4 linked regions of the Struthio camelus genome follow. The protein of the gene in region 1 interacts with the protein of each later gene in a biochemical or structural test. Links are inferred from orthologs where the notes say so. Each region holds a gene or a part of one and is shown in the gene's direction. Other genes may lie near its edges. The genes, in order: AKT1, HSPB1, GAB2 and FOXO1.

The links.
Region 2: the proteins of AKT1 (region 1) and HSPB1 form a complex in vitro, tested with the Homo sapiens proteins (3 studies listed by BioGRID, with this or other methods). The link is inferred for Struthio camelus from reciprocal best matches to the Homo sapiens genes AKT1 and HSPB1.
Region 3: of the proteins of AKT1 (region 1) and GAB2, one has a biochemical effect on the other in vitro, tested with the Homo sapiens proteins (2 studies listed by BioGRID). The link is inferred for Struthio camelus from reciprocal best matches to the Homo sapiens genes AKT1 and GAB2.
Region 4: of the proteins of AKT1 (region 1) and FOXO1, one has a biochemical effect on the other in vitro, tested with the Homo sapiens proteins (4 studies listed by BioGRID). The link is inferred for Struthio camelus from reciprocal best matches to the Homo sapiens genes AKT1 and FOXO1.

The regions. Positions count from the first base shown.
Region 1 is NC_090946.1:73,935,911-73,943,557, reverse strand, and holds the start of AKT1 (RAC-alpha serine/threonine-protein kinase), read left to right. Parts: upstream 1-4,641; 5' UTR 4,642-4,904; intron 4,905-5,034; exon of another isoform or gene 5,035-5,130; intron 5,131-5,326; exon of another isoform or gene 5,327-5,624; intron 5,625-6,623; exon of another isoform or gene 6,624-6,698; intron 6,699-7,647. UniProt on the Homo sapiens protein: AKT1 is one of 3 closely related serine/threonine-protein kinases (AKT1, AKT2 and AKT3) called the AKT kinase, and which regulate many processes including metabolism, proliferation, cell survival, growth and angiogenesis.
Region 2 is NC_090957.1:14,555,468-14,562,377, reverse strand, and holds HSPB1 (heat shock protein beta-1), read left to right. Parts: upstream 1-4,376; 5' UTR 4,377-4,766; coding exon 4,767-5,127; intron 5,128-5,782; coding exon 5,783-5,846; intron 5,847-6,064; coding exon 6,065-6,233; 3' UTR 6,234-6,399; downstream 6,400-6,910. UniProt on the Homo sapiens protein: Small heat shock protein which functions as a molecular chaperone probably maintaining denatured proteins in a folding-competent state. Plays a role in stress resistance and actin organization.
Region 3 is NC_090942.1:220,164,882-220,172,261, forward strand, and holds the start of GAB2 (GRB2-associated-binding protein 2), read left to right. Parts: upstream 1-4,363; 5' UTR 4,364-4,523; coding exon 4,524-4,595; intron 4,596-7,380. UniProt on the Homo sapiens protein: Adapter protein which acts downstream of several membrane receptors including cytokine, antigen, hormone, cell matrix and growth factor receptors to regulate multiple signaling pathways.
Region 4 is NC_090942.1:194,159,197-194,166,775, forward strand, and holds the start of FOXO1 (forkhead box protein O1), read left to right. Parts: upstream 1-4,566; 5' UTR 4,567-4,640; coding exon 4,641-5,228; intron 5,229-7,579. UniProt on the Homo sapiens protein: Transcription factor that is the main target of insulin signaling and regulates metabolic homeostasis in response to oxidative stress.

The DNA.
Region 1 (7,647 bases):
CCCTGCCCCTAAAAGCAGCGTGGACTTAACTGGTTCTGGCCACAGGGCAGAACAGCCACAAACCCACATGTAGTCACAGCCGACAGAAACAGTGTAGATGTGACCAAAGACTAGTAAAAGCACTCCAAAAAGTTCTGTGACACCAGAAAGTCAGGCTGAAGAGCAGATATCAATGATTCCCCTGAAGGCAAGTGGTAGCACGAGCTCAAACCCGGTTAGACACCGGAGAAGCACATGAGATGCCCAAACTGCAGAGAAAGCTTTGAACAGCATTTGTGCTCATTAGACACCCACAAATGCAACCAACGCAACACAGTTGCATAGGGAATTGTATTATCAGGGTTCTTTCACAGGACAACTTGTATTATAAATAAAGCAGAAACTATACTCTGCTGTCGCTCCCCAAGCTGTTGGTTTTTGGCAGGTTTCTGACTGGCATGACTGCAGAACTGAGGCTGCAGCTGAGCACTGAAGTAAAGAAAACACTGAAGATATGAATTTGACTTTCCTCTCCCTTCCCCTTTGCCTGCTTTTATTCGGTTCATGGTAGTGTCATCTCTTTTACATATGAGGTGTGAATACAGATGATGACATGACTAAATGCAATTTTATGGCTGCAGTATCCAGGGGGTCAGACCAGAATGATATTGGAACGGTCACTTCTGGCTTTAAAAGTTTCCAAACTATAAAATTTTGATGAGGTGATTCAAATGCTAGCAGATTTTTGTGTGCATGCAGATGCCATTAAAAATGCACTGAAGAAATTAAAAGCAATCCCTTCTCTGCTAGCATTCATGCACAAATAATAAAAAAATCTGTCAGTGCAGTGGTTAAATGTCATGTGTAGATATATTTTAAAGGATTTAGGAAGCCTCTGTCATCATAATACCGGAAATCTTAACAGCTAGATTAAGGCTCTTGATCTCAAGGAAATTGTAAAGATCATGAGAAAGACTGCGTTTTTCTGTACTGGCTTCCACCTGGAGCTCAGTTCATCTAGACTGCAGCGCTCCGAAAGATCTACTGCTGTGCCTATGCCTGGCAGCAGAGCTGCTGCTCCTTCCACTTTTCCATAGGGAGATTTGCAAGGGCAGTCACTAATACTGCACTCAAGTTCATTTGCCCACCTTGTGCTTAACCATATAATTTTAGATCAATATAGCATAATGAGCATTGGGTGTGTGAGTTGAGAATGCAAGAGACCTGATTTTGTTTTTAATGGGTATAGAACATGTGTATACAACTTCATTATTTCAGTGTCAGAGGATTTTCCTTTTCGAATATAGTTAAGATTGTGATGTTTCTTTAAGCAGGTTATTGCAGTTTCAGCATTTTCAGGTATCTTCCCAGAACTAAGAACTCACGAAATGTTGTTTTACAAACAAGGAGGGGAAAAAATCAGCAATTTGGAGTAGACTTTGCTTCCTTAAGATCAAAGACTGTTTCTTCTGCTGTGTCTGTGCAGTGCCTAACATTTCCTGGTCCAAAATGGGACTTGTGGTTACTACTGTAACAACAAAAACAGCCGTGGTTGGCGTATGCGACAGAACTGATATATTTGCTATTTTTGTACATTCTATATCTAACTAGTGCATTTTCTGTGCAAACCAATTCAGTTCCTGTTTATTTACTGAATTCCCCCTAGCGTGTTTGCTGCCCTGTGGCTATCATTATTCCAGAGGAAGAGAACTGCATGGTTCTCGCTTTGGAGTTTGTCAGCACCATTCATTACGGAGCCAGAAAAGCTCTTGGAAGGACTGTGAAGTATGCCCTCTTCCTCCTTTTCCAGCTGGAGAAGGCACACTGCCACCCCAGCGCTGCCCAGCCTGAGCATGCTGGCAGCTGGGAAACAGAAGCTCCTGTAGGTCTCCTGTCTGACCTCTGGGAGGGTCTGTAATAAACCCTGAAGAAGAGCTCCCAAAAGATGTTTTAGCAAACAGGGACAACTCAGATCTCTGGTCTTCCAGTTATCAATTTAGCTAACACTTGAATAGTCTTTCATCGAATTCAGCACAGAAGTACAAACTAAATCATACATGTATTTATTCACAGTATAACTTTCTAAAAAGCAGAATGACAATGTTTCAGTATGATTACATTTATTCTTTTTTTTTCCAGATAGCCTACCTTTGTTTTGCTCTTGAGAAAACGTCTTCAATCATTGGATTTTTTTTCAATTTTAGAAGTGCAGCTATGTTTATTATATTTGGCAGCATGAAATGAATGCACTTTTAAAAAAGTTTGTATTTTTATTAAACTAGACTTTCATCTTAGACCAAACATGAGCTGTTTCTTTAAAAGTTACAAATGCCTAGACTGAGACACTAGTGCCACAACTCTAATAGGACTTCGCATAGCTTTTTTTTTTTTTGAGCCCTGTTTGAGTAGAGCCCACCTTTCAAAAAGGGAGGAATAAATTCACTGTTAGCACCAAAAGGCACTGTCAGCACTTGCAGTCATGGAGCACAACTTGTTCTACTGGGGTGAACTCAGTAATTCCACTCCATCTTACCATACTAGTCTTTCCTTTTATGCCTGACTGAATAAAAACGTTTTTTATCCAAAGCTGCATAATTTCAGTGTTTTAAAATAAAGTCTTAAAAGTTAGATCAGATTATTTGTTACTTCCATATTTGTTAAAAATGGGTGAGAACATGAGTGTCTGTTCTTCCGGTACAGTATTGATATATTGTCTGGCAATCGACCATTCTTTGCCTCCAACCCCTACGTTCAGTATTTTATGGTAACATAATACCAAGGAACAGTTGATGCACCTTATCCCATATCAGTTACTAAATTAGAGTAAACAGATGTGAAATTTGAGGAAGCGCTTAGGGAAATCTAGGGACTTCCCTGAAAATTAGGGTTTATAGACTATAATCCCATTGATGATAACTGAATGACAAAACCCCCATTGTTTGCATTTATAACAATTCTTGAGTGATTTCATTGTTCTCAGAGGAAAAAAAGGCCTGCTTTTGTTCATTGTTGTTACAAAGTCACCCTTGCTGTTGCAGACCAGGCACTTCCTACTTTACCTGGGTATTTTTATCCACATGACTTTTCTGTGTTTCGGAGATAAGCCTTATTCCAAACCCCAAATCTAAGTGTTGTCCCCCCCCTCCCCTCCCCTCCTGCCCACCATTTGGGGAATGTCAGATCTGGATCCAAACTTTCTAGTTTGGGCCTGTCGTTCATCATTGTAAATCAACAGTTTGCAAATCTAAACAATGTGCTCGTGTTGATTTTGGGTTTTTTTACTGTATTTCCTTTTTAGCAAACAATGGAGGTTTATTTTCTTCTCTTTGGGACTGAAAACTATGCTTGCTGTATGACCTTATTTTTTAAACTGCTGCTTCATTTGCAGGGGAAGTCCTAATGACCTTGCTCACGATGACAACCCGGGAGCTTATCAATCAGAACAAGGTTTGGCAGAGAGGCAAGAAAGCTCTCCTGCAATCAGATCTATTACCAGAGATCCCTCTGCCTATACAGAAGTTTCCTACAGCCAGTGAAGTCCTCTGCTTACACATGCTCTTTATTGCTCGGTGTAATCACAGGCTCAAGAGTCAAAATTAGTTTCTAAATGAATTTTCTTCTTTATTTTTGGTTAGTTTCTACACATGTCCCCTCAATATGCTGCAAGCCTCTCACACTGATGACTAATTTCCTTCGAAAGATATCTTTACTACCTAAATGCATTTTAATCTATGCTAAATATTCTGGACTTAATGTACAGTATGTAGAAATGGGACGACAGTCCCAGAGAGTCTGTTGCAGGTTTCTCTTTTCCTTTTTTTTTGCCCTTGTACATCAGCATGGGAACAGTTCTCCTGCCCGTTTCATTCTCCTCTTGTATAAACCGAAATTTTTCCACTGCATCACTAGGTGAGGATCTAACCCTAAACTAGGTACTCCTGTAACACAGGGTACGCTTCTTCTCCTAACTTGGCTGGTAGTATATTTTTAAACCCGCTTAAAGGCCCCAGTACTCCTAAAGGAGAGCCATAGAAATACAATACCGGCTTAGCACTTCCACGGGGAGGAACTGGCCTGCCCAGTGATGGAAAAGGAGGTCTCGTTCTCCCTCCCTCCATCCTGAGCGAATGTGAACCCTTTCCTCCTCGTTCCCATTCCTGCCTCCTCCAGAGCACTGATGTACACAAAACCCAATGATCCGTTTGACACCTGGGCACCCAAGAGGCAGTCAGAATTATTTAGACAGACCTAGATGCTCAGAATGGAAGAGGAAAGTATATAAGCCGTGAATTTTGGTAAACGTGTACAGTCATTCAAAGGACATGGTAGAAATGCCTCTTACTACCCAACAAAATAGATTTGTTACCAGCGTGAATGCAAGGTCATATTCCCCGGCTTTACTGCTGTAAATGCACTTCATGCACCGTGAGTCTATTAACACTGCAAAGCTATGGGAAGGTTTTCCAACTTCTAACCAGCTTCCGGTTACAGAAACGTGACCATCCGCCGCTGTCGGCTTCCGAACAGACCAAATCACTTCTTGCAGCCCGGTCAGAGCTGCCGGCACTGTCAATGAGAAAACAAACAAAATCCTTAAATTAGCAAAGAGGGCAAAACTAGCTACTGGGAGCGCCGAGAAACACCAACTCCGTCAAAGGCACTTCCACAACACGGTTGTCCAGAGCGCAGCGGCCCTCAAACCCTGAGGAAGCGGGGCGAGGCGGCGGGCGGCCGCGCTCCGCGCCTCACGGCCTCCCCGCTCCGGACAGGGCCGCCGAGGTGTTCTCACAGGCACCGTCGCGCCCAAGTATTTAAGCAGCCGGTCGCGGGGAGGTGTGAGGGAGGTCCGTGGCCGTGGGGCTCTGCCTGCCTCGACGGCTTTGGGGCGGCTCGCTCCCGCCGAAGGCGCCCAACGGCTTCCTCAGGTACTTCCGAGCGGTGCGGCGCGGCCTGCGCCCTGCCGCCGGGCGGGACGGCGGTTCCGCGGGAGCCGGGCGACGCGGTCCTCCCCCGCCTCCCGCCGCCGAGGGGGGCCGCGGCGGGGCTGCGCGGGGCGGGCGGCGCTGACAGGGCCCGGCGGGCGCTGCCTGCCCTCCCCGCTGCCGGAGGGGCGGCGGCGAGCGGCGCTAGGACCCGGCGGCGGCGGAGGATGTGAGCGAGCGCGGCGGCGGCGGCGCGTGTGGGGCGAGCGCGGCGGCGGCGGGAGCGCGGCCCCGTGGCGTGGCGGGGGGAGGCGGCGGCGGCGGCGCGGGCATCCGCCGCCTCGGCGGCTGCCGGCAGGGGGGCGGCTCGATCGCGCGGCGGGCAGGCGGGCAGCCTCCGCCTCCCGGCCGGAGGCAGGGCGGCAGCGGCGGGAGCGAGGCGGAGCGGAGCGGCGGGCGGGCGAAGGCAGGCCGGCAGCCGGAGCGGGTGTGGGAGCCCCATGGGCCGAGCGCCCGCCAGAGGGGGAGGAGGAGCCGCCCCACCGCCAGCCGCCCGGCGACGGTGAGGAGGAGGCGGCGGCGGCTGCCGTGAGCCCGGTTAGGCCTTAGCTCGGGAGCGTCCGCCTCGCACCCCCCCCCTCCACCTCCCTTCCTCCCGCCCTCTTCCCTTCCCCGGCAGCCGCCACCCTCTCCCATCACCTCCTCTCCCCGGGCTCCAGGCACGTAAGTGACCCGGTCCCCGGCTGGCAAGGGCTGCGGGAAGGAAGCGCCGGGGCCTGCTCCGCCGCGCCGCGCCGTGCGGGGCCGGGAGGGCAGCGCGGGGCCCGGGCGGCGGCCGCCGGTTCGCCCGCTGACCCGCCTAGGCCGCGGCCGGCGGGGGTGGTGGTGGTGGTAGTGGGGGGGGGCTCCCCCGCCGCGCCCCCCCCCCCCAACGCGGCCGGGCTGCGGCGCCCCCCGGGCCGAGGAGGAAGGTGGGGTGGGGGGGAGAGGCGGGCTGCGGCCGGCCCCCGGCGGGCGTCCTGCCGGGCGAGCGGGCTCGGGGCGAGCAGGAAGCTGTTGGCTTCCCCGGGATGCGGTAAATGGAAAGTGCTGCGGGCGGGGGGGGGGGGGGGGTGTCCGGCCTCCCGGCCCCCGCGGGGGGCGCGGGCTGGTGTGAACACCGTGCGGCAAACGAAGTAGCCGAGGCAGCTTTCCCCGTCTTCCCCCCCTTCTTCATCTTCTGCCGCCGCGTTGCGGAGCCCTTTCTGGCTGGCGGAGCAGCGAGGGTTTGCTGCGGGGGGTGTGCTGCTGCGCGGGGGCGTCTGCCGTGCGGAGGCTGCTGCGCAGCGTCGGCGGACTTGGTCTGTGCAGTCGTGCTTCGCAGACCGCTGTCTGTCTGCAGATGCCCCCTTCTCCCCCCCTTTCCTCCCCCCCGGGTGAAATTCTGCAACTGTTGAAATGTTCTTGGGGGGGGGGGGCTTCTAGCACTTTTGCTTCTGTTTCTTTGTAAAAACACGTAGTGTAATCCAGGATGTGAAGATACTGGGACTTCTTTTTTAATATATGTCTTACTGGCAATACGGTATTGATGCTAGTGTGTTTGTACCTTATCAGTATTCCCCTCCCCCCCCCCTTGGGGAAAGTGTTTAACTGTTTTCTTTTTGCTTTGTTTTTCTGCCATCCCTAATATATAATGAGAAGCAAATCCCTGATTTGCCCTTGTTTGTTTTATTTATACCACAGGAGGGATGTACATTTCAAAATACAGTTATAAAGGGGAGTTACTAACACTTAATTCAGAAGAATATTTGTTTACAGGTAAATAAATTTGACGTACTGCATGACTAGTAATTACTTTTATGTAGGAATTAATTTCCTTATGACAGCCACAACATTTGTCTGAGTTAATAGATTTAAAGACACTGTGGAGCTAGCTTTCATTTTTTTTAAATAGGAGGGTTTTCATTGTGTACAGTGTTTATAGAACTGCTTTTTGATGTGCAGCAATGGTAAATCAAATTGACCTAATGTCTGCATGTAACCTGTAGCTCCAGCATTCACTTTCTGGCTTATATAATGCCCTTATTACAGTAAGAATTAAATAGGATCATGACTGACTTCGTTTGTTTGGTGGACAGAGCAAAACTTTTGTTATGAGCACTTTAAAATGGAATTTGATTAAAATGCTTCTTAAATTAGTACAAAAATTCTGTGCAGCACAGTTCTTATGTGAGCGTAAACTGCAGAAGGACTTGTTCTTGTTTGGGAGCATAAAGAGGATTTTGTCTAGCCTGTGTCTCTGACACAGTATGAAGAAGTTGTCTCTTTTCTACCGTCACTCCGTTTTGAAATAAGTAGCTTAGTTTGTCCTATCAAACTTTAGCTGTGGTTGCAGCTTGGACAGCTGAATGTTGTAATCCGGGCCCCTCACCTGAACAAAATTAACCTCCTGTCTATTGATCAGTAGAGACACAAGAGCACAAGGCATTTCAAACTGCTGTTTTGTAAACCGAGGTTACGCCCATAGACTGAAAGAAGGTGGGCCTGGTTTTAGAGATTTGTCTTTTACCCTCAAATTACGGTTTTTCCGATCGCTCTCAGTATTAGGGAAGTGTTTCCATTCCTGGTGATAAGCCGCATGTGCCGTCATGAAATACCTGTTTAGATGTGGTGTTATTCTTAATCGAACATCACATGGGCCAATAGCAGATGTTAGTGGCCTGTCTCAAGGCCCACAATGCATTTTGTAAAGTAAGCGAAGATGCTG
Region 2 (6,910 bases), on another chromosome or scaffold:
CTGGTCTCGATGCCACTTCTATCTCACAGCCGGGGCTCCTGACCCACCTTCCAGTTGTGTGGCTTGTTCCTCGGGTGCGGTTTCCCCCCCCCAATTCACAGTACAGCCCTCTCCCCAGGAAGTACAGCCCTCACTGAAGGCTTCGACTCCCTTTCTGGATGATGCTGCCACTGGTTGCCCTTCGTTGGCATATGTGGGGTAGCTGCAATTCAGGGTGGTGAAGGACACAGGTGAGCAGGACACAGCAGTGCAGAGCAGGCAGGATCTGCCCCAGCCACTATGGCCACTTTTGGCTCCCGGTCCCGTTGCCTCCCCTCTCTCAGCCTAGGCCAGGCAGTTGCTGAAGCTCCTTGAGCAGCAGCAGGACACAGCTTGGATGTCAGCTTAGGTTCCAAAAAGAGAGGGAGGAGGGTCCCGTGAGTATGGGACTTTGCTGAGAAGCGGCAGAGCTGGGATGCTAGCTGGTAGCCCTGGTTTTGCAGAGCTTTCCTTCTGTTGATTTTCCAAAAAGCTCTTCTCAGCTGCCCAGGAGCTGAGGACGGCAGGAGGGCTTGCTCCTGCATGACAGCACCCTGGGGCTGTTTGCATTTAATCTGCATGGGCCACGCATTTTCTGCCTCACTGGAGAAAGACGATACAGATGAGCCTCCTTTGGTGGAGAGAGCAGCTGCCCGGATTAACCCATTGCCCCCAGATTGAAAGCTGGGCTTTGTCAATCTCTCTTGACATTAGTTTCCAGCCTGCCTGGCTGGCTCGAGGGGATTGGTAGGACCAGGTCATCCTTTTTGAATCCTGCTCAGCCTATAATGCAAAGGCTTTGTTAGTCCATGGCTACTGCATGATGAATTGAAGGTCTCAGGAGGCAGGAATATGAGTTAAGCCAGGATTGCATCTGGGGCCGGCCGCTGCTGTGCAGGGCGGGGGTGGTCACGGTTTGCCCAGCCAGCAGAGTCCCTTGTACTCCCCTTTCCAAAACTGCCACTGGAGAAACGGAGCCAAATTGAGAAACAGAGGAGTCAGGCTGGGAGGATAGAGAGGGGCCTGCATTTGGGGTTGGGTGATGGAGGTGCTCCAGGGCACCTGGGGCCAAGCAGGGTGGGATGAAAGGGGGAGGGTCTGGGCACAGCTGTTTGGTACGGAGACAAGAGCCTCAGGTTCATCTTCCAAGCCCAGCACAGGCTGCTTTGAGAAACTGGCTCCTTCTAGGCAGGCAGTGACTAATGTTTGTGCTGAGGCCAGGACAATTCACCAGACCTTGGAGAACTATCTCCAAGGCTTGGATCATCTCCTGAGCCAAGCTCCGTGGTTTCACAGCCTGTCTCTCCATGCAGCCAGTCCTGCTGCACTTGCTCAGCTAGCAGACCCTCTTCCCCCGCTGGAGGTGGCTGCTGTCTGCAGCAAAATTTGCTTCCTGGCAAATGTTCCTTTGTGCGAGGACGTGACAAAGCCTCACAGATACCTCCCAGAGGTGCTGAAGGTTGGGCAGGGACCAGGGAGAGACGGGGCCTCATTGCGATTCCAGGCTGGTGCGCCTGATCTGGAAAGGAGCTGAACCAATTGCCCAGAAAAGAAAAGCAATTAGAAATGGATTTAACAGGTAAGAAGGAGAAACGATTGTGTTTCTCAATTGCTTGGCTTGTTCCAGCATATTAACCTGAAAGCCCCGGGCAGGGCAGCACCCCGGCAGCGTGCTGGGGCACACGGTCCGGCCGGGCGCAGGTGGCAGGAGTGCCGTGGCATAACCCCTCGCTTCCCTGCGCAGGGCTCCCTGGCTGGGACGGGGCGTTCCCGGGGCGCTGGCGACCGTGGCGGCTGCGGACCAGCTTGCCCCAGCTGTCTGTGGGCCTGGCCTGCCCGATGTCCCGAGATGCCCCGTTGCAAAGCTGGAGAAGGGGGTGCAGTGGGCCTGGGCGATGCAGAGACAAGGGTGAGCCGCAAGGGCTCGTAGGGATGATGTTTCTGCAAGCCACAGCGTGGCAGCCCCGGGCAGCACAGCACGGTCGGGCCGTGCCTTGCCCTCCCCGGTCCCTGTGGGTTTCCTGCGCGGTGCCCTGCTGGCACCGTGGCTCGTCTCCTCCTTGCAGCCCCCCCAGCCCCGCCAGCATCTCCTGGACAGGTTGCGGGGGCGTTTTGCACCCGCTCGCCCGCTGCGCTGGAGCAGGGGCAGCCTCAGCTGTGGGCTCCTGCTGCCGCCTTGCACCGGTCTCAGACTGCCTGTGGGAGCCCCAAAATGCCTGATCGAGACAAAAAAAAAAAAATCAGAGTTTGAACCACTGGAGAGGGTTTATTTTGTGGCATTTTTACACCAGCCTGAGGAGGGCCGTTGCCAGCCCCCGACAAGGCGCCTAGGTTGGACACACACTGTGCCAGCAACCCCGTGCGCCCCAAAACGCTGCAATTTTGGCCTCTTCTCCCTCTTCACCCCCCTCCTGAGCAGAGGCAGCGGCCGGGGAGCGGGGTGGGGGGCTCTGCCGCCTGCACGCCCCCCCAACCCCAGCGCCTGTCCCCGGCGGTGGTGTCCCCGAGCCCCCCCGCCAGCCCGAGTCCTGCTCTGCGACAGCAACCCGGCTGCAGCGCCAGCACCGACAAAGACAGCACATCAGGGAAAATTTCCAGTCTTCCTCTTTTACAGTCCCTGTCTCCTGCCCGCGGAGGGAGCTAACTGGAACAAATACTCCGCAGGAATACTTCAGTGTTTTCCTCGCGCGCGCGCGCTCTCTCTTGGGTTTTTTTTTTTTTTTTTTTTCCGGATTGTGAGTACAGCTGTAGATTCGGTGAGCTGGTTCAGTTATAATAAAACATACAGTATATATTGTAAATGACTCTGCCGGGCCCGGAGCAGGTTGTTGTCAGCGAGGCCGCGGCGCGGGGGCTGGCACGGCGTTAACCCCGCTGTCTCGCCGCAGCCCTTCCCGGGCTCCGGCGCTCTGTCCTCTGCCTCCCTGCTCGGCCTCCGCGTCCCCCCCCACCCCGCCGCCCCGTCGCGCTCCCTCCTCGCCTCCCTCCCATCCGCGCGGCCCCTCCGGCGCCTACCGCCTCCCCCCGTCCCCACGGGGCTCCCTGCCAGCTCCCCGGCAGGATGCGGCCCTCCGCATCCAGCTCTACCCGATTCGGCTGCTTTTATCCATTCCCCCCCCCCACCAATTCTGCGTGGTTTCCATGGCAACACGCCGGCTCTCCCAGCAGCTCCCCTTCCCCAAACAAAAGGGTTTGCCAGCGGCTGCAGCATGTGGAGGTGGGTGCTGGCACCCCACTGCGGTGGTCATGGGGGGACCCCCCCCTCCTTCCCCTTCCCCAAAATCTGCACCCCTGCCAGGGCATCCCCCCCTCTCCGGTCATCACCACGGCCCCATCAGTGCCCTGCGTCCTGCTGGGAGGGGATCTCTGTGTTCGTGCATCCCTGCAGTGAGTGCATCAGGTCTCAGCTACACCCCTTCCCCTGGTGTCGGCCGGGGACAGGCCGCTGGGCGAGAGCCTCCTTCCCGCCGCCCTGGCCTCACCCCTCGTCGGGCCCCGGGACCTGGTTTTCTGGGGCTGCCATGAACTGATTCATAGGCAGAATATGGGTCAAAATATGGGACGAAGAGGCGAAATTTTAGCGCTGGGCCTCAAAAGCAAAGGGCTGAGGCTGCAGCGAGCTGGGAGGGGAGTTGGGGGTGGGGGGAGGAATGAAAAGGTGGCCTGAGGTTGAAGTCCAAGCTCAGCCCTGGGGAGGCACCTCCCCGGCGGGGGGCTGCCGGGGGGGGGGGGGCCTGGAAGGTCCCGCTGGATTTGGGAAGGGGATGGGGGGGGGGGGGTCTCGGCATCGCTCTCCAGGCGGCAGGCAGGCCTCCCTGGCTGGAGGGTGAACGTGAGGGCAAAGGGCTCCGGGAGGGAGCCGTCCTCCCCTTGTCCCGGAGCGGCCACCACCCCCCTCAGCCCCCATCGCTCTCCATCAGCCCCACTGGCCGCAAGTGCCCCCGTTGGGCCTTCCGAGCCCCCGGCAGCCCCCGTTAGTCTCCTTTGGCCCCCGTCAAGCCCCATCGGCCCTCATGGCGCCTCATCTACCTGCACTGACCCCTCACTGGGCCCCATCAGCCCCACCAACCCCTTCTGGCGCCCATCAGCCTCCACCGGCCCCGGTTAACCCCCATCAGCCCCACCAGCCCCTACTGGCCCCATGAGCTGTCACCAGCCCCTGTCACCCCCCCCGTCAACCGCCGGCAGCCCCCGGCAGCCCCTCCTGGGGCCGGGACTGTCCCCCCCCCGGCCGCCTCGGACAGAGCCGGCTGGCTTTAGGGGCGCCGTGCCGCGGCCGGGAGGGCAGCAGCACGGCTGCCGGCCGGGCCGCCGCCGGCCTCCGACGCTCCAGAAGCTTCTGGCAGCGGCAGCGCCGGGGGGGAGGGGGGGGCGGCTGCTGGCTGAGGCCCCGGCGCGCCGCGCTGCCTCCCGCCGCCCTGCCAGGTTTTTTTAACGGGAGAGGCCGGGAGCAGCGGCCTGCCGGGGCGCGGGGAGGCCGCGGGGTGCCGGGGCACTGGCGGCTGTGCGCGGCCGCTCCGGCCTGGGAAAGTTGGCAGCGCCGGCTTCCTCCTCCTCCTCCTCCTCCTCCCCCCCCGCCTCCTCGGCCCTCCTCCGGCCGCTTCTCGGCCCTTCCCGGCCCCTGCTGCAATTTCCATTAATAGCCAGCTGAGATGCCTGGCTAAAAATAACCGCCCGCCCTCTTCATAAGGCCCCCGGCGCCGCCCCGGCAGGAGCCGCAGCCCCGGCAGCCCTCCGCACCGTGCAACATGGCCGAGCGCCGCGTGCCCTTCACCTTCCTGCGCAGCCCCAGCTGGGACCCCTTCCGGGACTGGTACCACGGCAGCCGCCTCTTCGACCAGTCCTTCGGGATGCCCCACATCCCCGAGGACTGGTACAAGTGGCCGAGCGGCAGCGCCTGGCCGGGCTACTACCGGCTGCTGCCCAGCGAGAGCCCGCTGGTGCCCGCGGCGGGCTCGGCCTACGGCCGGGCGCTCACCCGGCAGCTCAGCAGCGGCATCTCCGAGATCCGCCACACCGCCGACAGCTGGAAGGTCACCCTGGACGTCAACCACTTCGCCCCCGAAGAGCTGGTGGTCAAGACCAAGGACAACATCGTGGAGATCACCGGTGAGTCCTCGCCGCGCGGCAGCGGCCGGTTTCGCTGGCCGAGCGAGCGGAGGGAAGCGGCGGGGCGACGGTGTGGGCAGCTGGGGGCTGGCGGCCGTGGCCGGCCCCGTGCGTTTACCCCCCACCCCGCAGCGCCGGCGGGGTCCGGGCTGCGGTCCCCCAGCCGGTGGGATTTGGGCGCCCCGCTCGAGGCCTTGGGGCCAGCTGGGGTGCAGAGCTGGGCTGCCACCCCTGCAGCCGGGTTTGGTCCCCGCTGCCAGGAGCAGCTCGCGGCCCTGGGATTCGGGGACGTCCCCGTGGAGGCCCAGTCCCCCGTGCTGGGGATGCAGGAAGGGGAGGGCAGCCCAGGAAACCCCCCGCTGCCATTGCACAGCGCCGCTCCGGCCTGCTGTCAAGGCAGAGAAACCCACTGCCTGTCGCCTTGTGCCCGTCCCTGGCTCGGTGGGGAGCAAAGGTGAATCCCCCGTGCCGTCCCCCCCGCAGCACCCGTCCCACTCCTGCCTGGCCAGGGGGGGCCACCTGGCCCCCCGCCTCCCCGAGGCACCGCACCAGGGTGCTGCCCTGGGCATGGTGGACCCTTGAATGCAGAGGCCTTTCCCGCCGCGGTGCCCCGCCAGCAGGCTTCACCCTGTCCTGGCTTTTCTTTTTCTTCCAGGGAAACACGAGGAGAAGCAGGATGAACACGGCTTCATCTCCCGCTGCTTCACCCGAAAATACACGTAAGTGCCAGAGTGAGACAGGACCCTGGCAGCCCCTGACCCCTTTGGGCACCTCTCCCATCCACCAGGTCCTGCCCCATCCCCTCTGGTGCCTCCTCTGGGCGAGCTGGGGTTGTTGCTAGCCCAAACGGGGAGGACCGTAGCCAAAAAAAATTGGGGCTGTGAAAAGCCCCGGGGCCGGGGCCTCACGGTGCTGACCCCCGCTCTCCTGCCCGCAGCCTCCCGCCCGGCGTCGACGCCACGGCCGTGCGCTCCTCCCTCTCCCCGGACGGCATGCTCACTGTGGAAGCGCCCCTGCCCAAGCCGGCCATCCAGTCCGCTGAAATCACCATCCCCGTCACCGTCGAGAGCCAAGGCAAGAAAGCAGAGGAGCCAGCCAAGAAGTAGCCGGAACCGAGGAGAAGGAGGGAGAGAAGCCGCTGCCTGCGCCGCTGCCCTGCACAAAATAGCTCCTCACGCCACCCCCCGCTTTCATCCCCCTTTTTACTCTGTATTTTGTACTCACCCCATCACTGCGTGTCTCAAATAAAGGAGAAGAAAAAAGTAGAATCAATCGGAATAAACAGCCATGAAATAAAGCCGCCTGGTGCCCTGCGTCCCGTGGGCAGCAGGCCTGGTGGGCTGGGACCCGTGCCGCGGGGGCACCGGGCTGGGACCCGTGCCGTGGGCGCCTGGGCTCCCCTCCGGCACGGCTGACTGAGCTGGTGGTGCTGGCCATGACGGGGCACGTGTGGGTGTTGCCGGGGTCCAGCACAGCTTTTGGATGGGGCACAGACCCTGCCTGCACTCACGCCTTCCCCATCCTCTGATATCCCGGGTCTCCAATATCCCAGGTCTCCAATATCCCACATAGCCAATATCCCATGTCTCCATTATCCTGGGTCTCCAAGATCCTTGGTCTCAACATCCCAGGAAGTCTCTGACATCCTGGGCCCCTGATATCCCAGGTCTCAGTATCCAACATCTCCATTATCTTAGGTCTCCAAGATCCTTGGTCTCAACATCCCAGGTCCCCAATATCCCAGGTCTCTGACATCCTGGGCCCCTGATATCCCAGGTCTCAA
Region 3 (7,380 bases), on another chromosome or scaffold:
GAGGGAAACACGACTGGGCTTTAGCTTGGAGTGTGGTTCGTCTATAGGAAAATCCATTTAATTATCTTCAAGTGTAAGGAATGGAAGAGCTCCACAGGCTGGAGCCTGGCCTAGCTGCATCCGCAGAAAGGTCCAGCTCAGCAACCCAGACATCCTCCCAGTGCTGCCCAGCGCATTGCCTCCGTGGTGATGTGCAGGATTTCACCGTAATCCCCAACAGAAAGGGGATGAAGCGGGTTTGATCCATTGTTTTCACATCACCGTCTTGGAAGAGCAACACCTATTCTTCACTACTAGCAACTGGACTGATAAGTCCAAGAGTGCATGTGCAGCTTGGACACTGATGACCCCTGCCTCATCTCTTCCTTTCTCCCTTTTTTGAGCCTCTGTTGAGGCGTCAGAGCTTTGATGCCTCTGTCTTTGCCAGAACACGGTAGCAACGATGCTTCAAATGGTCTAGTCATCTCAGAGCATCCTGCGCTACGATTGTCCCAACTCATGGAAAGCAGCCAGTGCTGCTGGAGCTGCACTGAGGAAGGACGGTCTTGTGGTTTGGCTTCGATTACGGGCTGTTCTGGGGGGCTCGCCGTGCTCTTTTACGGAGGGTGGCAAGATTCAAGTTCTCCTTGGAAGAGATGAATTTCTAACCTTGAACGTTTTTTTGTGAAATAAAGGAAGCTGTTTGCCTCCAGCTCTGCTGCAGGAGCTGTTTGGTGAAGATAAAGCCAGGTCGTATTGTTGGGGAGCTGGATCTCAAGAGACCGCACATTCGCTCCGGATGAGAAGCAGGCACGTATCGCCAAGCAGCACAGCTCGTTTTTAAAGCCTGTCCCCCTCCAGTATGTTTAGGTTTATATTAACCTCAGCATAGGGCATTTCCAAGAGATCAGTGCCTGGCTGGGGTAAGTAGCCCAAAGCATTTCACCCAGCTGGTGCTTAATCCCCAGGAAATGCCCTGCGTCTCTGTCCTTACTGCTTACACACTAAAAATCTGGTGTGTGGAGGGGAGAAATCACGCTTTCTTCCCCTGCTGCCAGTAGATGGCACAGCTCATTTAAACAAATTTGGAGCAGGCAAAGAGCAGCGGCGGGCGTTGTGGTTTGTTTCTTAGAAGTTGTGATTTTTCAGACATACATTTCGGTTCCCTTACGGCCAAGAACAAGGAAGTACGCTGAAGACTGTGATTAAAAAAACAGAGGTTTCTGCAGCAGAAAGTGTCATTCCTTTTCTGGCACCTCGGCGTGCTTAAAGCACGGCGCCGGGGGCTTTTTCTTGGAACTGCCCTAGCCTCGTGTGAGGAATATGATTTTATATACGATCTCTCTTAATTTCTCCCTCAGTCTGCCTCCTAATTCTGCCTTTGCCCCTTTTTTGCTGGTCCCACTGGCAGAGAAGGAGTCTCAGTTGCTTCGCACAACCCCCTCGGCGTGTTTTTTTGCAGCACAAGGAGGTGGTTTTTGCAGTTTTCAGCCGGGGCTGTTGGCTGTTAGCTCACGACTCGGGAGATTCACGCCGTCAGCTGGGGCCAGCCTTAGTTCAGGCTCTGCCGTCGGGTGCAAGAGCAGCTTGAAGTTGGGAAAACTGTCACGGGCGTGCGAGCGCTGCCAAATTAGAGCTGTGTCTTTGTCTTTTAAGTCCTAGAAGCGTTTGGAGTAATATTTGTGTGGCCAGATGCTTTAAGTGGCACCAGCAGTAAGAAGCGTTGTAACATGACGTGCATGGTATAAAATGTGATGCGGCAGCGCGATGCCAGAATGAACTTGCTGTTCTCACTCCGCGCGCAGCCGTGGCAGCATCAGGCAGCCGCATTCACATGCAGTGTCGTCGTTTCGGCCTTCCCCCCCCCCCCCCCCCCCCCCCCCCGCATAGAGCTTACATTTTATGTTTGCGATGGCAGTGTGTTTCAGAGCACGTAAAATGCAGCCTATTTCCTTTCCCTTCTGAAAGTCACGGCAGCCTGGGGTACGTGCATGGCCAAGACGTTAGGGCAAAATCCGTGGGGGGAATTCATCTTTCGAACGCTGTTCGGATATATCTCGTGATAGAAAAAGGTCAATAAATTCGACCCAAAGTAGGGGATGAGCAGAGCAAAAGGAGCAAGGGAGCAGGAGAACGCAGTCCAAGGCTGTCGCCAAACGTGTGACTACTCGTTCCCCTTCAATTCCGTGCAAACCATGAGAATTACGGAACATTTCATTGAAACGCCTATCGCCCAAACAAAGTGTTTTCGATGCTGCGTGCTGAGAGCTGTTAGCATAGAAATGCGGCCGGGGTTCTTTGTGACCGGTTTGAAGACTGATACCACTTTGCATCAGTGTCAGCATGAGGGAATTCCTAACCTGTGACTCATTAACATATGCTTTGGAAGGGGTTTGTACGGTACCAGTGTATTCATAATGAGAGCCGATAGTCCATGCTCGATTATGTCGTCCTAAGCCCAGGGTAAGCTGCTGACTTTCCTGGAATTGCCCTGGCTGTTGGGAAGACCTCTCGGGCTGAGAAGGTCGGTCGCTGGGAAGCGATTCTCCCTGTGAACGTGCAAAGCGCCTTTGTAACCCGTCATAGATTTACAGGTGAGCCTCTCGGGCAGCGTAAATTGATACCGCTCCAGTCCACTGAATACAGCAGTTCTGATTTGTGTCGGCCGAGAAGCGGCCTCTCTGTCTTCTCCGGTTCCCAGTCCCGTCAGACGGAGCGTATTTTCGGAGATGCTGATCTGACAAGAGTTGGCCTCTATGGAAAGATTGCCCCACGCTTAAATAGGACCGAGCCCTCGATGTGGGCGGTGAAAAGGTGGAAAAGCTTCTTTACAGACTTTGCATTTCACCCATGGGAAAAGGACGAGCATTTTGAAAAAAATATGGTTGAAAAAAATGATATACTTGTTCTTTAAGGGGTTAGTCCCCTCCTTTCAGTGTTCACGAAGATGGTAAACAACACCTGGCTTAACTGTGTTGTCCCCATCTTGAGAAGAGGTGTCATCCCTACCCCTCCGAGGCACTGCAAGCTGTAATTACTGCCTGTAAAGTGATGCAAGATCCCTGCTCGAACAGTGTTGGCGTGTGAGCCGGCGTCTAGGTGCTATTGCACCAGATACAGTACAAAGCGAGAGACTGTCCCTGCCCACGTGGGTTGGACAAGTTGACAAAACGCCACGAAGGGAAACTGAGGCAGGGAGGGACGATTTAATGTGCCCAAGCAGGTTTGGGGCAGAGCTGTCATATAGAGGCAGGCTGGGGAAATGCATCTCCGGCAAGCAGCCCGGCGTTGTGTTTTCCCGGTACGTGGATAGCGTGAAGGCGTTGAGAGCTGAGAGCGCTCGGCGCTAGCAAACTTCTATCAGCGCTGTTTCCAGATTTTCGCTTCTAAGGAAAGGCAAAAAGAAGGTTTAGAGCATGATCCTCCTCTCAGGGCTGCGAAGGGACGTTTTGCTGGTGCCTCGGATGGGGAGAGGATCAGACCTTGAAGCGCACAGCGTTTCTAGATCTGGAAGAGGATGGCTAAATCTCAGCTAGGGTATAATACACTGTAATACGAAACCCAGCTTGTCTGCATGAGACTCCAGTGGCAGTCAAATCCCCTTTCAGTGGGTGCTGCTCCATTATTTAAAAATCAATAATAAAATATGAAGCTTTTATTGATTCCTCTCCTTTTTTTTTTCCTTTTTTTTTTTCCAGGAGGATTTTTTTTTTTTTTTTTTGCTAGAGCATGGCATTTGACCGTGTTTTGCCTCCACCTCTTTGTTTTCCTCCGGCTCCTTCACATCTCCCACAAAACCCTTAACCACTGCAGGGTGTAAGCCGCCCTCTCCTCCCTGGGGTGAGAAGGACAAAATCCATAAAGAGAGGGGAAGCGTCTGGGGGAAGAGCGGGGGGGAATCTAGTGATTAATCCCCATATCCTTATCCTGTGGGGTGTTGGGGTGTTTTTTTTTTTTTTCTTATTATTTATTTTTAACTAGCTTGGTGGGGGGCTTTGCAATGCAAGATCCCGGCTCAGACAGGATCTGCTCTGCTCCAGGAGGTCACCTGCTCTACGCTAAAGTTCCTATAGAGATGCATGCAGCTACATACGCACACCCTGTGCGCCAGTGCGGGCCGAAATGAGCGGCAACACCTCCGGGGGAAGGAGGAGCCCTCGGCCAGCCCGGCGACCACCCAGCTGCCGCCGGGGGCCCGGGGCTGCCGCCGCGGGAGCGCCCCCTCCACCCCCCCGCCCGCCCGCCCGCCCCTTCCCAGTGCCGTGTGCGGGGTTTTGTATCTTTAATAAAAGCAGGCTCGCCTGGCAGGGAGGGAGGCGTGGTGTGCCGGGGAAAAAAAAGAGGCAGTTTCCTGCTTTCCCCGCTCGCAGCGGCTGGCCGGGGCTGGGAAGGCGGCGGGGGGAGGAGGCTGCCGGCAGAGCCGGGCGGCGGCAGCAGGAGCGGCAGCAGGAGGGAGGAGGCGGCGGCCGCGGCTGCCACGGTGATGGGCGAGCGCTGCCGGCGGCGCTGAGCGCCCCGCGCTCGCCGCTCCGCTCCTCTGCGCCATGAGCGGCGGCGAGGTGGTGTGCGCGGGTTGGCTCCGCAAGTCCCCGCCGGAGAAGAAGTTGCGGAGATATGTAAGTGGGTTTACGGGGGGGGGGGGGTGGGAGGCGCGGGCAGCGGGCCGAGGGGACACACGCGCGGGCAGCGGCCCGAGGGGACACACGCGCGGGCAGCGGCCCGAGGGGACACACGCGCGCCGCCGGCTGCACCTGCCGCCGCAGCCCCGGGCGCGCCGCTCCGCGGGGGGCGGCCCCGGCCGCCGGCTCCGCACCGCTGCGCACCGCTGCGCAGCGCGGACGGCGCTGGGTGCGCGCCCGCTGCGGGCGCCACGCGGGTCAACACGGCCCGGCCGCGGCTGCCCACGGCGGCGGCTCGGCTCTTCGCGTGGTTTTGCGCTTGGCGCCCGGCGCTCGCTACCCGCCGTGGCTGGATTCCCCCCCCCCCCCCCCCACCTGCGCTGGGCGCCTTTGGAGATTGCTTTTTACGGGATAATAAAAATAACGCGGATCTCTTCCCCCCCCCCCCCCACCGCTCCGCACCCCGTAACGGCTGCTTCCCCCCCTCCCCGCTTGCGGTTGCTGTTAATCATCTGATGTTCAAACTCTTTGAAGATTGCACCAGTAGCACTTTGGTAGCCTTTTTTTATGTGTGTGTGTGTGTGTCGTTAGCGGCTGAGATCAAACAGTTCAAGGAAGTTGTAAAGAAGGGTCCAAATGCCAGCCCTGTCACATTCCCGACTCCTTGAAAGAAATAACTGTTCTTTGCGCCCGCCGCCTGACGCTCTCCCAGTGCGCCACAAGCCCCAGAGCTCAGGAACGCGACTATGTAAAGCTGCCGTCCTGTGACTCGGCAGATGAAGTCCCTGAGTGCTGCGCGCTGGCTCCGGTGACTCAACTCTGCCGGGTTTCGGCTCCTTGGCACCGCAGCATCCAGCGCGAGCGGGATGCTCTTGCTTCCTGGGATACCCTTCCTTCCTGAGAGGCACCACCAAAGTTGTCCTTCCTTCCTGTTGCTTTTGCCCCTGTGCGTCTTGGGAAGCGCAGGCAGGACAAGCGTCGCTGGGGTCTCCCCTGTGCCATAGACGTGTTATTGATTGACGCACCGCTGCATACCCCAGAGAGGGTGGTGGGTATGAGTAGACCCGTTCCATAGGGAGGTAACTGGTTCATGATTGAGCATTAGTCCCAAATGAGTGCAGCACCGTAGACTTCAGCGGCGCTACATTTCCTCACTTTGGACCATGCTTGGTTGCTCTTGGCCATCCACTCGTTGCTGTGCCTGGTCCCTTTTGCGGGAGGGTTGGGTTGGTTCCAGGCTGCAGATGGAATGTGTGATGGAGTTGAGGGAAAATCCAGTTCCTTCCCTCCCTGCCCCCTAAATGTACTGAGACAAAGCCTGATGTATGTAAGCAGCTCTCTGCAAGATGGACAGACTGACTTTGTGCATGCTGAACAGCGGAGGATGCTTTTAGCTTAATGGAGCAAAGCACCTTCCTCCCGCAGAAATCAACTAATTGCTGATACTGAGTCACCAGTGGCCTTAACTCATCAAACATCATTAGCTCTCCAACATCTATTCAATGAAAGGGCGCTCACATCGCCTTCTGAATATCTAGCTTGTGCTCTGGCATTCCAGCAAGAGCTGAATAAATCTGCTAAATGCTATACATGAGGGTGTGACATGCTAGTGGTTAGTGCTAATTATTGATGTGCATAAGAGTGCTTTTCATGCAGATGCATCCCAAAGTGCTTTGCAAGCCACCTATGTTTTGAAAACATCATTATTCCCCCAAGAGGAAACTCAGCCATTCCCAAATGTACCCGGTCGTCCTATGCAATGTTAGTGGGTCAGGAAGCAGCAATGGACATATGTAACTCAAGGGGTTTTCTCTATACTCCGGTCCCGGAGTTGTGGTCAGTGGGACTTCCCTCCAAGTCATGCTGGTTGCACTGGCTTCCTGTATGACCATGGGCCCAAGTTGCTGAATTTTGCCTCTATCATCTTTTTGAAGTCATTTATTCTTAGATAGGCAGCTTGGCAGCTTTCCCCCCCCCCCCCTTCTTTACTTCCTAGTTCCAGTTAAATAGAGAAAAGTTCTAGTGAAGTGTGCTGTGTCACGTGGAAAGTCTGCAGTGGCTGGAAAACTGTGCCCTTCATTTGTACTGTGTCTCGTTTGGTGGTGCCCTATCACTTTTTAGTATAGAGATGGTGATATTATATGGCCATGCCATGTATGTGTCCAATGTGTACTGTGTCCAATTCTGGGCTCCCCAGTCCAAGAGAGACATGGCACTGCTGGAGAGAGTCCAGCACAGGGCTACAAAGATGGTGAGGGGACTGGAGCATCTCTCCTCTGAAGAAAGGCTGAGAGAACTGGGTCTGCTTAGCCTGGAGAAGAGAAGACTGAGAGGCAAGCTCATTAATGTGTACAAGTATCTGAAGAGGGGAGGTGTCGAGAAGATGGGGCCAGACTCTTCTCCGTGGTGCCCAGCGACAGGACAAGAGGCAACGGGCACAAACTGAACCACAGGAAGTTCCATCTGAACCTGAGGAAAAACTTGTTTCCTGTGAGGGTGACAGAGCACTGGCACAGGTTGCCCAGCGAGGTAGTGGAGTCTCCTTCTCTGGAGATATTCAAAACCAGCCTGGACGTGATCCTGGGCCGTGTGCTCTAGGTGACCCTGCTTGAACAGGGAGGTTGGACTCCAGAGGTCCCTTCCAACCTCAACCGTTCTGTGATTCTGTGATTCTGTATTAAGGGTGTTAGAGCTTTAATCAAATTGCCCCCTTCAGTAGGGGTCCAGAGCATTCAGATGTGGCCAGGAGTCCCCACTCCTATAAAACCTGCCATCAGTTCAG
Region 4 (7,579 bases), on another chromosome or scaffold:
ATACAACAGCTGCTGCAAGAGCGGCGGCCCCGCTCCCCGCGGCAGGCGGTGAGTAGGTGACGGAGGCGGCGTTTGGCTGCTCGGGCAGCGCTCGCCGCGTTAGCAGTTGTTCCCCAGCTCCTCCGAGAAAACGGGGGGTGGGGGGAGGCTGCCGGGGAGCTCGCCGTGGGCTGGGTTTGGCAGGCAGGCGGCCAGCTCCGCCGCGCCACGGTGGGATGCTTCTCGTCGCCAAAAAAAATTGCCGGTGTGAGAGGCAGCCGGCGTGCCAGGCACTTGGGAAACGTTGGTGGCCCCGGTTCCAGCCGTATGGATGTAAATCCGAGAGGGTCTGGCTGCCTCCGCTGGGAGCGTCCAGGCTTTTCGTCTGTACGTAGCAGGACACGGAGCTGGGACGAGGTACCTTCAAATCCGAAACCGATCCCTAAAAGCTACTTGGTGAAATGAATGTTTTTAACCCCGTGGACCGGGACTTGACAGACCTGGATTCAAAGTCTATCGCTGCACCTGCTTCCTCTGCACTTTACATAAATTCGTGGTGGTCCGAGCCCCCCCGTGCAGAGTAGGACTAATAATGCCTCCTTTCTCTTGCCTCCTACCTGTCGTGCCCTGTTAGCCTGCTCTGGCGCACGGCCTCTTTCTTACTGGCGAGTTCAGGAGGGTTGCAGCCCTTCTGGGACTTATCAGGACGAGCATAAAATAGATAATAAGAAGTGACAGAAAAATTTGCATCACGCAAGGCTGAATGCCACTTGCTTTGCTCACACAAGTCGCCCTTTGAAGTCAGCACTCTCCTACCCGTCGCTTCTGGCTTACGTTGAGCGGCCAGACAGCTGGAAGGTGAGGGAGGCGAATGGTTAGGTTTAGGCTGGATTTGGGCAGATCCTGAAGGCACAGGGCCTAAAGTGGGGGCATCAACACTACAACTGTGGTGAGGGATCAGCACATCCTTAAACTCCCTCTGTGGTTAACGGGGAAAAGATGCAAGCTCCCAGCAGGTAATTCACAGCACAGAAATTAAGCTCCTGCTCCGAAACATGCTGCAGAGGAGTCTGCATTTCTTGTAAGCAGCTTCTGGTGGGTATGGAGGGCTTCAGGCTCTTAAAATTCCCTTAAATTAGGCAGCGTGCCCACACGGGACACACGTAAACCCTGCTGTGGTGGGAGGCCTTTGGCCAAGCTGCTGGACTGCAAACCAAAGTTACTCCCTTTGGAGAGACTTTGGAGGAAAATGGAGGTGCCAAACTGCCTTGTCCTTCCTCAGAGAATGAGCTTTCTCCCAGCACAGCAGCTCTTGCGATACCAAACATAAGCTGGTATTTCATCATTGCTTTTTGCTCTGTTAAAATGTTTCTACTGTCTTGCTATATATATACATGTTGAAAAAAGAGCTGTACATAGAATACGAGTGCTTTCAACTTCATGTAGTCCCTGGCTGAATTTGATCAAAACCTCAGGAAGTGAATTATGCATACTGGAGTAAAAAGACAGTAGAGACCCTCTATTTTGGCTGCCTCAAACCCAGAATATGGATAGCAGGCTATGCTTTATCCCAGTGATGATAAAAGGCAATCTTTAATTTGAAAAAAATACAAGACGACGCTATGGATGATAGGAGAAATTGCATTGTAGAGGAGTGGAAAATGGGAGCAGGAGTAGGAGTAGAGAAATGAAAAGGTGGAGTGTAGGAGGAGGACCGTGGGAGTAGAAAATGAATTGTGGTGCATCCATCAGCATTTCGGCATTGTGGGAGATGAGATAAACTTAACGCTGTCATTTGTAGATGTGGTAAAAAACTCTTGTACTGAGCCATTGCTGTATGCAGGGAGCCGCTTGAGGAGGAGGAGGAGGAAGGCCCACCTTCGGCAGCAACCGAACGGGAGGCTTCGCTCTCGGCGTCGCGTCCCTGAGAGCGGGCAGCGGCACTGGGAGGTGCTGGGAGAGCAGTGGGGTGCAACATGCAGCTTGAGCCTCCCTCACGTTATTTATGGCGTGTGTGTGTTGGACCTTGTTGCTTTGACTCTGGAAGCGGTTGACGTGAAAGGCTCTGCTCCCAAATGCCTTGGCACGGAGAAGCATTCCCATTCGGAAAGCAGAGGGTCTCACGCGCAGGGACGGGGGCGTTACGGAGGGACTCGTTCACCCAGGCAGTTTCGCAGGAGTCAGATCAGACTGCGTTACTCATCCGAGGAAAGCGCAGAGCACTGTCTCACAGGCCTTCATCCTTCCACAGCCCTTTACAGGCCTTGGCCAGAGATTATAGCGTGCAATCGTCAAAATCCCCAGCAACGTTAGCAGTGCAGAAGCTAGCTCTGTATGTTGTATCGTGAGTCATATGGCCTGACTTGTTAAGAAAATGCGGTGTTTTGAACCTTCCGATTTTATGTTTCCTTGCTACCTACCTTGAGATCCCTAACCCCTCGCTACAAAGTGTTTTCTAACTGAACTTACTGGTAAGATTTGAACTGCAAGGAAGGATGTCAGTGAGATGTGGCACAATCGTGACAAAGCCTCTCCAAGAAGGGGAGGTAAGCAACAGCAACGAAATATAGGGCTAAAAAAGGGGGAAATACACTTGTCCTGCAAAAGGAACCAGGCTGAACACACCAGGACTTGGGAAAATCCCGTAGCAGCAATCTTCTTCCAGGTTTTCACGGTTTGTATCTGACAACTAAAAACTATTTTTCCAACATCTAGGCATGTCAATGGAGGCCAGAGAATAACACCTATATTTTTGATTAAAAAAAAAAAAAAGAAAAAAAGCAATGAGTGCAGGATTTAAAAAAAAATCCTTAAAAGAAAGCCTGGGTAATAAATCCATTTCCTTTAGCAGGATGGGTGCCAGTCCAGCTCTTAGCCTTCTTTTCAGACACCAATGGCAGGCAAGGAAAAGAAAATGTTGCAGTGTTCTCAGGCACTTCTTTTGTTTTGGCTCCCTTTTAAACGTGTCCGTTCGCCTTACGTCGCTGGCTGCTTCTCACACGTACCACCTCTCCTTCCATTATATAATGTGTGCTTCTCCAAGTCAGGGTGCTCTCCCTTATTGCAGGGCAACTACTGTAGCGCAGTTGTATAACACTGCCGGATAAATCTGTTCCAAGCTGAAACGTGGCATGCAAGTTATTAGGTTGAACTGGGACTAGTTTCCTTTTTTTTTTTTCTTTAACTGAAAAAAATCCCCTCTGGTTGTTTTAAAAACCGTAGGCTAAACAACATAGATTTGTGGGTTGAATCCTTTACAGGATTTGGATAACATAGAGATGACATAAAGGCAAAGCAGCTCTGAAATTTTACAAGCGGGTGTAATCACCTTCGGCATTTTGGAAAGCAAACGTGACGAAAGCTTTAGAATTTGATCAGTTACTATGCACTCTTGCATATGTGCGCCAACTATATATATAGTTAGGTGTCCTCGTGTGACTTAAAAAGTGTTTTTGTAATAGACAGCGCGTGTACGTAGATGTGTGATCTGCCACTAAATTATATGCTGTGGGCCTAAATTCAGTCTCATACTCTACGTCCTTCATTATCGCTGCTCATTCTCAGAAAACATTTTTACGGGAAAAATTTGAATAACATTACTGCTCTCTGTCCGGATTCAGAGACAAGGGAAAAGTAACATGTTCACTGGCTCACGGTGGCAACTACCCGCTCTAGCAGGTCCTTTGACACGTAATGTCAAACGTCGTGGACAACGGCGGATTTTGTGCCTTACTAACCCCTGCTTAAGTATGTTGTTAAAAGTACTGCTGCTATTTAAAAGAGGACAGGACTTCTAAAAAGCGGGGCTGAACAAGGCGCTGAAAAGCAATCGTGCCTCATCCCAGATCAAGCAAATGTCTTCTTTCTAATTTTGGACAGAACGTAACTTCTTGTTGCGTTGCCTTGAACACCTCTTTGCCCGTTTGCAGCCCTGGGAGGCAGAGGTGGCACGTCCCGGAACCGCTGCCTCTTTGGCAGGGGGGAATAAAAGCCTTCCTAAATTAAGCCATTCGTAAATGTCTTAGGCTTTGCTGGGGCAAGTGATGCAAAGCGTGTCTAAGGGCGGCTTTAAACCGTCATTATCTCGAGGTCACGTACGAGCCCACGGTAGAAAACAGCGGCGGACGGCGCGGAAACACGCCCGGGAGGCGGTTTGTCCGGCAAGCGGGCGCCGCTCGGCCCGGGGGCAGCTGCGGGGGCACCTCCGGCCGCTCCGCGCCCGCGCAGCCCCTTCCGGGCGGCCGCCCGGCCAAAGGGGGAAAAAAAACCCAAAATCAAAAAAAAAAAAAAAAACACAACCCCACGCCGAAGCAGCCCGGGGGCACCGGCACCCTCCGCCGAAGCGGCCCCGCGGCGGGAGGCGGGCGGGCGGCTCGGCGCTGCCATTGGCCGTCCGCCGAGGAGGAGGAGGAGGAGGAAGGCTGGAGGCGGGCCCGCGCGGGGCGGTCGCTGCAGACGGTGCGCGCCGGGCGGCCGGGTGGCTGCAGCCGCCGCGGAGGGCAGGGAGCCGGGCAGGGCAGGGCAGCGGGGCCGGAGCCGGAGGGCAGTTGGCGGCCGCGCCGCCGGAGCCTGCATGGGGCGGCGGCGCTGAGGCTTCCCCCGCCGCTGCCCGCCGGGTCCCGGTGCTGGGTGCCGGTCCCGGTGCCGGTGCCGGCCCCGCCATGGCCGAGGCGCCGCAGCTGGTGGACATCGACCCCGACTTCGAGCCGCTGCCGCGGCCCCGCTCCTGCACCTGGCCCCTGCCGCGGCCGGAGTTCAACGCGCCCAGCTCGGCCACGTCCAGCCCGGCGCCGTCGTGCGGCGGACAACCCGAAGGGGCGGCGGGGGCCGCCGCCGGGGCCGCCTCGGCGGCGCTCGGCGCCGACTTCATCAGCAACCTCAGCCTGCTGGAGGAGAGCGAGGACTTCGCGCCGCTGCCGCCCGCCGCCGGGGCCGACTGCCGCTGCGGGGACTTCCCGGCGCCCGAGGCCGGCTGCCGCCTGCACCCGCCGGGGCCGCCGCCGGGGCCGCCGCCGGTGCCGCCGCCCGTGGCCGGGCTGTCGCCGGGCCCCGTGGCCGGGCAGCCCCGCAAGAGCAGCTCGTCGCGCCGCAACGCTTGGGGCAACCTGTCCTACGCGGACCTCATCACCAAGGCCATCGAGAGCTCCCCGGAGAAGCGGCTCACCCTCTCGCAGATCTACGAGTGGATGGTCAAGAGCGTGCCCTACTTCAAGGATAAGGGCGACAGCAACAGCTCGGCCGGCTGGAAGGTGAGTGGCGGCGGGGAGGCGCCTGGGGGGGGGGGGGGGCTGGTCCTGCTTTGCCGGGGGAGCTCTCCTGACGTCCCCCCGGCCCGGCCCGGCTCGGCGGGCGGTAAGGTGCCGCCAGGCGCGCTGCGCTCGGCGCTGCGCACGCTGCCGCGGGCGGCCCTGCGCCGGCCCGGCCAGAGGCGGCGCGGAGCCGCGGTGTTGCAAAAGGCTGGGAACTCTGCCCTGTGCTCCCGTCCCGTCCCGTCCCGTCCCGTCCGCCGGCCGCTTGCTGCCCTGCACGGAGTTTGCTGCGCTCCGACTGCACGCTTCGGGCTCGCTCTCTCTCTCTCTCTCTCAATCTTTTTTTAAAAAAAAAAAAAAAAAAAAGCGTTTCAGCCCTCCCCCAGCGGGGCTCGGCGAGGGCAGGAGGCGCGTCTCGCCTCCCCCCCACCCCCGCCGGCAGAGGGTGGGGGGGGGGTGGGGGCAGCGCGCCGGGGCTCGCCGCTCCCCGCCTTCCCCTCCGCCCTGCCTCGCCGAAAGCAAAAGTTCAGGCCGTGTCACCGCGCCGTGCCCGGGCCAGGCCGGCCGCAGCGCCGCCACCTCCGGCCCCCCCGCCCGGCCCGGCCCGGCTGCGGCGCGGCCCCTGGCAGCGGCTGGGGCTGAGCCGTGGCGGAGCCGCGCGGCGCCGGGGCTGCCCGTCCCCGACGGCGGTGCCGTGTGTGTGCCCGTGCCGCGTCCCGGCGCCGCGGGGTTTGCCGTCTGGCCGCAGGGGGGAGGGAAGGAGGGGGCAGAAACCACCAGCGATGGGGAAAGAGCAGAGGCAGGACAAGGGTTGCAGAAATACCACGCGTTTAATAAGTAAGCTGCCGTATCTGCCCTGCTGGTTTTGTTAAGCTTGGCTTACGGGGGTTTCCTTCCCAATAATGGCACAGGCTTCGCTCCTGCGGCGCCGTCCCTAGACGTAGCAGCTCGGGAGTAACCCGCTGGCAGCAGGGTTTTCCGCCCTACCCTGCGCAGAGCGGGGCCGAGCGGCGAGTTCAGCCTGCCCCATCCCCGAGGCCCGTGGGCACTCGCTGCGCAGGTGGCTCCCGGCGTCACCCTCGGTGCCCGCGGCCCAGCCCACGCTCTCCGTCACGGTGGTGGCTGGCAGCGCGCAGCGGGACGGTGCTGCGGCGGCCCCTCGTCCGCGTGGGTGGCGAACGGGCAGCTTTGCTGCTGCCAACGCATCGCCCTCCCAGGCCTCTGTCAAGAACACCTTGCCCACCGGGACCTGATTTTAGGACGGAGCTAGAGCAAAGGGTGTCGTGGCACTGTTGCGTTAGACCGTGGCTGGAGTAGGCTTTAGCTGTCTGCGTGAAGGCAGAACCTTCCGCTCCCTTATGGTAATAAATGCGTTAAGTGCTCACACGTAGCCCGGTATCGGCGCGTTGTGCTGCTGTGTTCGTGATTTCGTTCCAGTTAGGGCAAGGCGCGGTCCGCGGTGGTGCGGAGCAGTCTGCTTCTGAGTTACGCTACGCCACGCTTCGCTCGCTAGTGTCTGCAGTACTCGTGTTTTAAAAATAATATCAACTCAAACAGTGTACTTTTATACATATACTTTTGACTGCATGGCTAAGAATGTGCGTTAGCTCAGATTTTTGTAGATTTTATTATTTTATTATTTTTTATTTTTATTTTTTACAGGTAGGCAGCATCCCTTTAAGGAAAAGTAGTGTTATCTTAAATTAATTTTTAGCTGAAGGCTTTAAAAATAATTTATTAATTACTATCTATGTGTCTGACAGAAAAATCAAAAAGTTAACTGTCTGAAGACATCTTTCTTGAGAAAGTTTAACAAAAGTAAAATGACTGATACCTGACAACTTTTGAATAAGGTAGCTTGTCACTTGAAAATGCTGTTTTTTTCCAGTGGTATTTCAGTCTTCTGGAAGAAAGTCAAGATATGCCAATTGCCTTTTCAGAATGAGTAGGGGAGAGTAAGTAAATCAAGGCAGAAATAAAATCAAAACTCCCAAATCCAAGCAAACAAATAAGTTACACTGCTAACAGAGTTTCTCATTAGGAGCTTCTTATTTTATTACTTCTTCTTCCTGTGTTGCTTCAACACAGAATAAGTCTCGCACACCTTCTTCTGGCAAACTAAGCACTTCCGATGCCTGCAAACCTATCTTACCACCAGGAAAGCCGTTCCTGTTAACTTGCTGGATGTGGAGCATTTCCCCTTGTCCCTCCCTTCCGCTGCAGTGGGTATCCTGCGACTTTTAGCCCGTGATGTGCACATCCTGTTTTAACATAATTAAATATTAGGAAGCTGTATGTAAATAGCATCCTGGTGCGGTGGGCGCATGTCGCCGTAATTCCTTCCAGCCCCC